Linked DNA regions of Arabidopsis thaliana. The protein of the gene in region 1 interacts with the protein of each later gene in a pairwise test. Each region holds a gene or a part of one and is shown in the gene's direction. Other genes may lie near its edges. The genes, in order: AT4G14815 and AT3G05400.

Region 1 (3,470 bases):
AAGTCAGAACCGGTGGAGAAGACGAAGGTGCTTGCTGCGTCGCGGTTACGGCGGAGGAGGAGGAGAAGGTGATCGTGAGTATGAGGATGAAAACGCCGGTGATTTTGGTCGCCATTTTTGTTGCTTCAGAGATCTCTCGTCTTCGTGATTAGAGTTAGTTACAGAGATTTCACACTTATGGCTGATTCGTAGCGATAACTGAGATTGTATGACGATGGTGGCGGGAAATAAACAGTTGTGGAGGTTTGATAACGAAGTTACTAATTTGCCCCTATATTGATATTTTCGGGTGATGCTGAGTTGGTAGTGACTGGCCACTAAGGTCCGTCCACGTGGGTGAAGATTAGTTTCGTTTGGGCTTTTAGATTGAATATCAAAGCCCACAGTTTATGTTTTTGACATTTTATAGTTTAGTTGACTTTGAAATTTTATACTTCTGTTTTTTAAAGAGGATAAATAAAAATCTAATGGTTACGGCGGTTGAGGCGAACAAAACCTTCAACAGATCATACCGCTTTTTATTTACCATTCATCAATTATAGTCCGCAGTAGTTCGGACCAAAAAAAAAGAAAAACCGCAGCAAACCGTTTTTATATACAAATAAATTTGGTACGCACCGATTTATTGTCCGCCCAAAAATAAAATGGATTAAACTGCAGAAAAATTAGACCTTTTTGTCCGCCGCATCCATTCAAAGTTTAAGTGGGAAAGTTAATTACTTATTTAGTTGATATTCGTTTGGACGAGGGCTCCCGAACACATCGTAAGCTAAATCGGTGCTGACGAATAACCAGCCCACAACAAATAGGAAATGTATGGAATAGTAATACTATGAATGACCCAATATAGAATACTGGTAATAATATCATCAAAAGAACGTTCTCATGTGCTTCCAAACATACTGAACTCAATATAAATTTAGAGAATCAATATAAATTTAGAGAACATAACAAACATAGACAATTAAAAAAAAGAAAAAACGAACAAACATAGACTTGTGAAACCGTTATAATTATCCATGGAACTGTTGATGCTTGTGAAACTGTAAAATCCACCAAAATGCCAGATATTCACGAAGAAACCTGCTCAACAGCTGCTAGAAAAAGGATAGTGATTGTGATTTATCCGTCCATAACGATCCATGGAGCTGTTGATGTTTGTGAAACGATAAAATCACAATTTCCTCGTAGCTGTTATGCAGATATCTTCGTGAAATATCTGATATCTTGAAGAATTTTTCTTGAAGGCTCTTTGCTTAGTTTGAATATTCGTTGACCGTGGACTCGGTGGTTCGAGTTAAGTTTCGTCAGAAGATGTTTTTTCTTGTCGTGGTTTTGTTTTTCGGTGGTCGTGAAGATCGTGAAGTGTTGGCTAATAATGGTTTACGTATGGTGGAGCATATCGGAATCTCAGTTTCTGAATAAGAACGCAAACTTTACCATATTTATATTGCAAAAGTTGGTCATGCTCTTTATCAAATAGAGAAGTTAGATCATGCAGATTAAGCCACATCCTGACATCCTTCTTTTTGTTTTTTTTTTTTATGCGACATATATCAGTTTCTATTTATTTACGAACTCCCAAAAAGACTCCAACACAAATTAAACCAATAAACTCAAACAACCATATTAAAATGAACAATTCACAAGTAAGTGTTTGGTGTTGCTTATAATTTTAATGGTTTCTACAAATTTATCTACGTATCTTATTTTTTTTCTTGTTTTTTTCATTGAAAAGGTCAGCAATCAAATTTCAATCAGGTGAAACTCAAAAACTTTATATAATCACAAAAAATAATTCAACAAACATATCCTTAAACCAAACGTAATCATATTCTTTCACAAACTTCACCATAAGGTGTTGCAAAAGTTGGTCATGCAAATTGAGCCACATCCTTATTTTCGTCTTTTTCTGCGGCCTCAACTTCTTATTTATTTACGTAACCACAAAAGAAAAGACTCCAACACAAACCATTAAGCGATCAAACAACTAAATTAAAAAAAAATCTTGAGAGATTCTTGGAACACAAGAAAAACATGAAACCTAGAATGTGTTTAATCTTGTTTATTGCTTTAATGAGAGTAATGTCGATTGTTTCTGCTCAGTCGAGTTGCACAAATGTTCTAATCAGCATGGCGCCGTGTCTCAGCTTCATCACTCAAAACACTTCTCTCCCGTCTCAACAATGTTGTAACCAGTTGGCTCATGTTGTCCGGTATTCTTCTGAGTGTTTGTGTCAGGTTCTCGATGGTGGAGGTTCTCAGCTTGGGATCAATGTTAATGAGACACAAGCTCTTGCTTTGCCTAAAGCTTGTCATGTTGAAACTCCTCCTGCTAGTCGCTGCCATAGTAAAATAAACTCACTTTCCATGCATTAGATTCATATTTTTGCTATCTTTTTTCTCTCACACATCAGAACTTTATTATTTTCAGGTGGTTCTTCGGTTAATTCACATTCAGGTAAAGGACTAACTTATAAATAGAACCTAATCTAATCATATCTATTTTGACATTATCCTTTTTTGACATTATCTCTATGAACAGAACATGGAAATGGATCAAAAACAGTCCCAAGAGAAAAGTCATCATCTGATGGTTCTATTAAGTTCTCATTCCCTCTTCTCGCCATCCTATTCACAGCTTCTTACATTACATTAATCTACGCAAAATACTGACTTATTTTACCAATAAAGCTTTTGGCCTCTTTGAAGAACATATTCATTTTTAGTCTCTATTAAATCGCGGTGTATTGTGCTGAAGTATTTTGTGCTCTAAATCCCTACTTTCTAGGTGATATTGGTTTGTAGTCCAAAGAGTGTGATTGTATATCTTTGATTTATGCAATAAACATTATTTTCTAGCTAGGACATATTTGAAATACATGATATATATATGTATTGTTATCACTAACATATGTCTAAACATCACTTAAAATTTAGAGGGAGTACTATTGTTATCACTAACACATGTATTGTAGAAGGAGTACGATTGCTATCACAAACACATGTATTGTTGCCATTTTAGTCACAGTTTCTAAATATGAGCTTTGTCTGTTACCCTAAATGTTATTGCTCAATGTTCACCATAAACTTTTGCGCAGAGTGTCGCGTCTCTATCCACTTTTTCTTTTGCCGGTAATTTTACGAAGGGAATTATCGCCTTTCTCAAAAATTTCTCTATTTTTAAGTTGCATACTTGTAAATCGTTTTGGTATTTCTCTTTTAATATTCCAGAACATATGTTGTGAAAGCTATAGACAAACATTTATATGCTGGCTGAAATCTGGAAGACAGTTTCTAGCAAGAGTCAAACAAATGTCTAGAGAAGTCAAAGCAACAATGATAATGGAAATTAACTAACACCTACTTTTCTTAATCAAACTAGTGATTCACTAATTTAAATGTGAGATTGACAGAAAAATTCTGCAAACTTTATTAAATTTAGTGATTCTTATAGACTTGTTTAGAAG
Region 2 (7,477 bases), on another chromosome or scaffold:
TCTTCCCAACACGATTCTCCTTTGGTGTAATGTACTGCCTTATCTCTTCAATGAGAAACTTATTGATCAAAGGCTCTTCCTTTTCCGTTGAGTTTCTGATTCCTTCGGGTTTTGGCAACCGGATTTGCCTTAATCCGATATGAGCATAATAAAATGGCTTCATCACTTCATCTTCAAGAAACTTCTTCATCTCCTTTTTGCTTCCGTCTTTGCTCTTCTCCATATCTTTTACCGTCTTCTCTAGCTTCTCGTACAAGTTGTCCATCTTTTCTAGTACTTCATCAACACGATCGTGCAGCGCCTTTAGGTCGAATCCTTCGCTGCTGACTTCTTTGATTGTGTAGATATTGTTGCAAGTGTCTTCGTTTTGCAAGAAGTAACCCACGGAATGGAATCGGTAGAGACATGAGAGGCTCACAGTGATCACCAGTAATCCTAAGATGACTTGTAATCCTGCCATTAGTCTTCCTAATCGCCATCTCGGCAAACATGTTCTTCCCATTTCCTCTTCTTGACCAAATCTTTCAGTTATTGGTTCTAATTTTGACATAAGAAAACAGAGGAAAGTGTGAATCTTTTGTCATGCTTCAGAGAATATGGAAAAAAAACAGAGGAAAATATGAATCTTAGCTCAAATTAACTAAACAGAGAATAACGCTCCTAAAGCCAAATCTTGAATAAGTGATAAGTGAAAGAAAAAAACATTATTACCAGATAAGAATTAAGAAGAGATGCTCCTTGATGTTTTGATGGAAACCTTTCGTCTCTGGTGTCTCGAGGAAAAGTAGAAGAGATTCATGAGTTTGTTTTTTCAACCTCAAAGTTAAAACGCTATTTGAAATAGAGATCCGAGAGCTGCGGAGAAAAAGTGTGTGTTTTGTGTCTGCTTGAAGAATTACGGAGCTGGAGATACTTAAAGCTGAAGCCTAAAGCTGACTTATTGTGACTAAGTTTTAGGACAAAATCCACAAACTCTCTTTCACCAACGTGCCTAATTCCTTACTTTTCGGTGTTCTTCTGTGTCTTTGAATATAATTCAAAAGTCAACCATAGCTGATAAGTATATAATATACCAACATGCATACTTAAATTTTTTTTAAAAAAATTGTTAAATATAAGAGCACAAATCTCGTAAAGTTGTTAAGAACTTTGCTTTGCTATAGTGGAAAACAAACTAACAATATCATGCACCTTCCAAATTGAAGAAGAGATTCGAGGCAGAGGCAGACGCAGACGCATACGTCGGTTAACGGTTGGGCCGGTTATAACCGGTATATTTCCCGAAGAAGTTTGGTCTTCTCGACCTGGTTGCTAACCATTGCGCCGGAATCTATTTTCTTGGTCAAACCGAACCAAAGTCTTGTACTTAAATCTTGACGATGAAAAACAAAAACAATCATGATGATGAGTGTGATGCGATGATTAGGTGGAAGTTCAAAATACGTCTTTTCTTCCCACCTATTGATTAGACCTTTGATTTTTTTGGGGCGTCTTGGTTCAATGAATCGAGTTTCAACACCCAACGTTGTTTTGTGCGATAAATTTTGTTTTTTAAGTACCGTCAAATTATAACTATGACAGAATTTTTAAAACGATATAGCTACAATTGATTAATCAATCTAGTATATTCAAGCTTTCGACATCATAAACCAGCACTAAATTTAATTCAAGACAGTGAATAACAAGAGCCACACCCACATGTGTACTATGGTTTCGTGATTGTCTCGAACTAAAATGACGTGTCCGTTCTTCTCTCCTTTTATTTTTTTCTTCTTTACGAAAAAATGATTGAACCTTTTTTTATATTGCACTTCAACGGTTTTCACAAGTTGATGTTTCTGTCTTATAGTCCATAAATAAGTTCGAACAAGAAAAATGGCAACCGACGATTTTAGGCTAACGGCCTTATTGTTGAGGGAATCTTATTCAGATGAATGACTTAAACAGCATATAACCAAAGCAAACCGGATCCTTAAACCAAAATGTAATAAACCGTACGCTGGTTGATACAAACAATGAACATGAACCTAGACTCAATAAAAACCAGATGCATTTACATCACAACATAGCATGATATTTATTTCCATCTTTGTGGTTAACCAATCCTAGCTATTATACTAGCTAGCTAGTCTATATATCATAGGGAAGAGAAAGAAAAAACATTCTACTTCACGCAAATATTTTATCTCTTTGTTTCTTGTTCTTAATTAGGGTTTGATTGAAGAAAATGGAAGGAGAGAATAATATGGAGAAAGGATTGTTATTGGCAAAAAAGGAAGACAGTGCAAATACAACTCCACTTCTTATCTTCTCCACCTTCATCATTGTCTCTGCCTCCTTCACCTTTGGCGCTGCCGTATGTACCCATCTCTCTCTCTCTCTCTAGCTCTCTATTTCTTCTCTATATATGCACTCTCATATAGATGTTCCTATTAATTAGAACCAAATTCCAGATCTAGGCCAGAGGTATAATGAGCTAAGGAACAGATTCAAACCACCAACTTCTTTTCTTTAGCATTAATGTTATATACTAAACTTTATTGTCTTTCAACAAGATTGTTGTTTAGAAATTATTTTAACGCAGATAATCAAAACCATGATGATTTTTGGCCTCAGATTTGTAATACTTAATTTCGAATTAAAAGCTAAGTTTATATATATTGACAAAAGATGAAAAAGGTAATAATATAGTTTCTATACTATATATTATCTCTTCATATCTTCAATCTTGTGGACCTCGAAAATGTTGGATTGATAGTACGTGCTACCTATAGCCATATCTTATCTCGACATCTCTTTTAAATTTCAAGTTTCTAACCACAGTAAAGGTTAAAAAAAAATTCAAGTAATTGTATTAAAGTAAGAGTTTATAACTTCATTATGTATATAGAGTTAAAAAAGAACAACTTAATTATTTCTATCATCTTATGGTTCACAGATAGGTTATACTGCAGATACAATGTCCTCCATTATGTCAGACTTGGATCTTTCTCTCGCACAAGTAAGTCCAACTTTCATCACAATTTTTATGGGAAACAACATTAATATAATTTTTCAGTCAATTCTTCCAATTTTACAAGTGGATGGATACACGCAAACGTATACGTATTTTGTTGAAACTACTAGTTACATCGCTTTTTTTTTATATCAAATGAAAAATTATTTAGGGGTAACAAAATAGAAAAAGTTGACTACTGTACGAGCTCATATTGTTACAGTGATGACTAGTTAATTTTAATTTCTTGAGAACTATGTTTACAGTTTTCGCTGTTTGGTTCGTTGTCGACGTTTGGAGGAATGATCGGTGCAATATTCAGCGCCAAAGCTGCAAGTGCCTTCGGTCATAAAATGGTAAGTATCAATTATTCTCAAAATCACCCCTATCTTTCTTTTATTTTGTCGTAAGCCCAAAAATTTATATCGTAAATTTCTACACCCTCATTTTTTTTTGTCTTACAATATTTCTTAGACGTTGTGGGTGGCTGATTTATTCTGCATAACTGGTTGGCTTGCAATTTCACTAGCCAAGGTTCCCTCCATAACTTATATTCTTCTTTATTTTTGCAAGTTTAACAAAATTGTATATTTTATCACCATTTTAGTAATATAGTCTATGTTTTTTTGTAGTATATAATTCTTATTTTAAATTTCTTTTTTGGCACACAGGATATTATTTGGCTTGACATGGGGCGATTTTTGGTGGGAATTGGAGTTGGTCTCATTAGCTACGTGGTAAAGCTATTTCCTGAAAAGATGACAAAAAAAATATATATATATATCGTCGTAACCATAAATATTTTCTGTATAGGTTCCTGTATATATTGCAGAAATAACACCCAAGCACGTAAGAGGGGCTTTTACATTTAGCAATCAGGTGACTTACCTATTTAAAATCGAAGTTTAGACGTATATTATCATTTTATACATAAATTTGACTTATTTATTCTAACATCAATACTTCACAGCTTTTGCAAAACTGTGGAGTTGCAGTCGTATATTACTTTGGAAATTTCTTGTCATGGAGAACTTTAGCCATAATAGGTGATTCATTCCCATCAACTATCCCGATTTTAAAGATTCATTTCTCCTGATTATTATTTTATTTGCCCTAAACTAAAATATAGATATCTAATTAACCAGGTAGTATTCCATGTTGGATACAAGTTATTGGTTTGTTCTTCATACCTGAGTCTCCAAGATGGCTGGTTAGTCATATAAATCAATCGTGAAAAACTTATATCCATGAACATGATTGTTGTAATTTGTAAGTAAATATATAATAATATATGAACATAATATTTACAGGCGAAAAAAGGTCGTGATAAAGAATGTGAAGAAGTTCTTCAAAAGTTAAGAGGAAGAAAATACGATATTGTGCCTGAAGCTTGCGAAATCAAGGTACTCATACGTACAAATCAGTCCCACAAAATACAGATGTTTGACATAAATATATTTAAAATCACTTGTAGTCTTGTAGATCATTCATTCACCAAAAGAAAAAAGAAAAACAATCTACTCCTAAGCAAAAATTCTCACTTATACTTGTTTTAAATTTGTAGATTTCAGTTGAAGCTTCGAAGAAAAATTCGAATATCAACATTCGTAGTCTTTTCGAAAAGAGATATGCTCATCAACTTACAGTAAGAAAAGAAGAGTTTTATTCATTCATTAAATATATTCTAGTGATCTTGATTTTTATATAAGAACTGAATAACAAATTATTTGTTTTGTTTGGATTCGGTTGATTTTTGTTTAGATCGGCATTGGTTTGATGCTTCTGCAACAGTTATGTGGAACTGCAGGAATAAGTTCTTACGGAAGCACTCTATTTAAACTTGCCGGTAATCAGATTTATTTCCTAATTGAATTGTTTATAATTTAGTTAGGAATTTGTTTTTTGCTTTTCAAACTAATCCTTTGATTTTCTAGGGTTTCCTGCTCGGATTGGGATGATGGTGTTATCTCTTATCGTCGTACGTAAAAATTTATTAGATAGATATTTTTCTGTTTTAAATGCACTTTGACAAAAGAAAAAAAAAATATTATATATGATTGCTTCATTAATTGTATTCTCACATCCTGACCCCAATTTCTTATTAATGATCATATGCATAGGTACCAAAATCTTTAATGGGTCTAATCCTCGTGGATCGATGGGGAAGACGCCCACTTCTTATGGTTAGAAAAATTTAAATCTTTTAGGTTCAGTCTATCTTTTTTTTTACTGTGCAAGTAAAATAGTCCATAAATAAGATAAATTTTTATTTTCATACATCGAATTTGCAGACTTCAGCGTTGGGGTTGTGTTTAAGCTGTATCACATTGGCAGTAGCGTTTGGAGTTAAAGATGTCCCGGGAATTGGAAAAATTACTCCAATTTTCTGTTTCATTGGAATATTGGTAAGTTTTTCACTATTTGAATTTCACTCTAATTTATAATCTAAAAACTCTATCAAACTATATATTTACACAAACTTCAAATGTGTTATTCTGTTTTTCTTTAATATCTCAAGTACACTAAACCAAATTAGACAGCCATTTTTTTTAGGCAATCATACTTGATCAAAAATAATATGAAAGTCAAAACTCACAATATATATATATATATATATATATATATTGATTATTGTTAAATTTTCAAAATTTTGACTAGCTATAACAATTTATCATTCAAACAGTCGTTTACGATGATGTTCGCAATTGGAATGGGAGCGTTACCATGGATTATAATGTCTGAGGTATACACATATGAGCAAACATACTATTTTACAGATGTTTTTGGATTATAGTCATACCGATGATCATTTGTTAATTATTATTATTTATGTTAATTACTTTCTTGGCAGATATTTCCAATGGATATAAAGGTATTAGCTGGGAGTTTAGTGACCATAGCAAATTGGTTCACTGGTTGGATCGCCAACTATGCTTTCAATTTTATGTTGGTTTGGAGCCCAAGCGGTGAGTAACATAAAGCATATACACATTCGATTACAAATCAAAATATTCTATTAGTTTTACTTGAATAAACCGAAGCAAATATATATACAAATGCATAAATGATTTGCTAAATCCTAAATCGCTGCCTAGGCATGTAGGCATGCATGCAAGTCTTTTGTTTAATTCTTTCATGCATGCAAGTATACCGTATACGTCTCTAGTTTTTCTTTTATAACTTTTTCTTTTAAGGATGTTAATTTTTCTTTCATATGTTAAATTTGAATTAACTAGACTAACATGTTCTTTTTTCTTTTTGTATATATATAATACTAGACTAACATGCTTAATCGTGTGCTATAAGAAAAAAGCAATGGCTAATCCTGTCTATATAAATAAAAATAACTTGCAGGGACTTTTATAATATCCGCTATAATCTGTGGAGCAACAATTGTATTCACATGGTGCTTGGTGCCGGAGACTCGAAGATTAACGTTAGAAGAAATCCAACTGTCGTTTGTCAATGTTTAGGGTTCATCGGAAGCATTCATATATACATCATAAAGGTTGATATACTACATCATTTGCTACATATAATTCGGCTTCGATCGTATCCATAAATTATTTGATTAATTCAATATAATTAACTAAAGTTTCCATTGTTTAGTTGAACTCATTGAAGATTAGTTTATTTGTATACATATATATATATATATACTATTGTTTTTCTTCGGTAACAGTGCTGATTAAAATTCGAATGATGATATGCAGCCCTTACCACTTCTATAAAGTATAAACTACTATCGACCATCTTTTTATTTATTTTATTTTGGAGTTCTTACATTCATCATTATAATACACATGATCCTTAAAGCATATAGTGTGGTATATGTTAAAACAGAACAAACTACTTATATCACCATTTTGAACCTGTTTTTAGAAAATCCTTCTTTAAAAATTCAATGCTTTTTTCTTTTTCTTAACTCAAGTTCATTTCACCAATTAATAAGAGCACAATTCCTCCTCCAATAGATTATTCTCGATAAGAATTCACAAACATATTGATACATAATATATAACTTATCTAAATATAAAAAAAATTGGGTTGAAGTGTATACATGTTAAGTTTAGTGAAGTACTGAAAAGTATTAATGATTAAGGGTCTCTAAGTAAATTAAAGGATAGTGAAGTACTGAAAAGCAATTCATATTTTTGGGAGAGCGATTCTCTTTAAACGCTGCCGTTCGGCTGTTGTTCTAAACGCCACCGTTGGTAATTGTATTAAAACGTTGTCGTATAATCTCCCTCTCGAGGTGATAAGAGAGTCGACGGCAACACTCAGCGACCTCACTTAACGAACAGAGACGAGAAATGTCTCTGAAACCTTATTTCTCTCTACTATACTCATCTCCCACTAATGTAAAACTTTCCAACTTCTTAATCGCTCAACAACCCTCCGGTGACCTGAAAACTACCCCGGCCGAGGAGTTTTCTCCACTGGTTGAGAAATTCAACCGACGGCTTCTTCTGGGTGTAGGAT

The links.
Region 2: the proteins of AT4G14815 (region 1) and AT3G05400 interact in a protein complementation assay, tested with the Arabidopsis thaliana proteins (one large-scale study listed by BioGRID).

Annotation. Positions count from the first base shown.
Region 1 is NC_003075.7:8,503,085-8,506,554, forward strand, and holds AT4G14815 (Bifunctional inhibitor/lipid-transfer protein/seed storage 2S albumin superfamily protein), read left to right. Parts: upstream 1-1,958; 5' UTR 1,959-2,037; coding exon 2,038-2,350; intron 2,351-2,434; coding exon 2,435-2,461; intron 2,462-2,545; coding exon 2,546-2,676; 3' UTR 2,677-2,868; downstream 2,869-3,470. Other genes in the region: AT4G14805 (Bifunctional inhibitor/lipid-transfer protein/seed storage 2S albumin superfamily protein), read right to left, coding at 1-115; AT4G14810 (uncharacterized protein), read left to right, coding at 1,061-1,156, 1,261-1,425.
Region 2 is NC_003074.8:1,547,475-1,554,951, forward strand, and holds AT3G05400 (Major facilitator superfamily protein), read left to right. Parts: upstream 1-1,971; 5' UTR 1,972-2,227; coding exon 2,228-2,356; intron 2,357-2,938; coding exon 2,939-3,001; intron 3,002-3,261; coding exon 3,262-3,351; intron 3,352-3,469; coding exon 3,470-3,529; intron 3,530-3,666; coding exon 3,667-3,732; intron 3,733-3,808; coding exon 3,809-3,874; intron 3,875-3,965; coding exon 3,966-4,041; intron 4,042-4,140; coding exon 4,141-4,205; intron 4,206-4,305; coding exon 4,306-4,398; intron 4,399-4,559; coding exon 4,560-4,640; intron 4,641-4,756; coding exon 4,757-4,841; intron 4,842-4,929; coding exon 4,930-4,973; intron 4,974-5,115; coding exon 5,116-5,178; intron 5,179-5,286; coding exon 5,287-5,400; intron 5,401-5,678; coding exon 5,679-5,738; intron 5,739-5,846; coding exon 5,847-5,961; intron 5,962-6,349; coding exon 6,350-6,468; 3' UTR 6,469-6,745; downstream 6,746-7,477. Other genes in the region: AT3G05390 (S-adenosyl-L-methionine-dependent methyltransferase), read right to left, coding at 1-502; AT3G05410 (Photosystem II reaction center PsbP family protein), read left to right, coding at 7,309-7,477. UniProt on the Arabidopsis thaliana protein: Sugar transporter.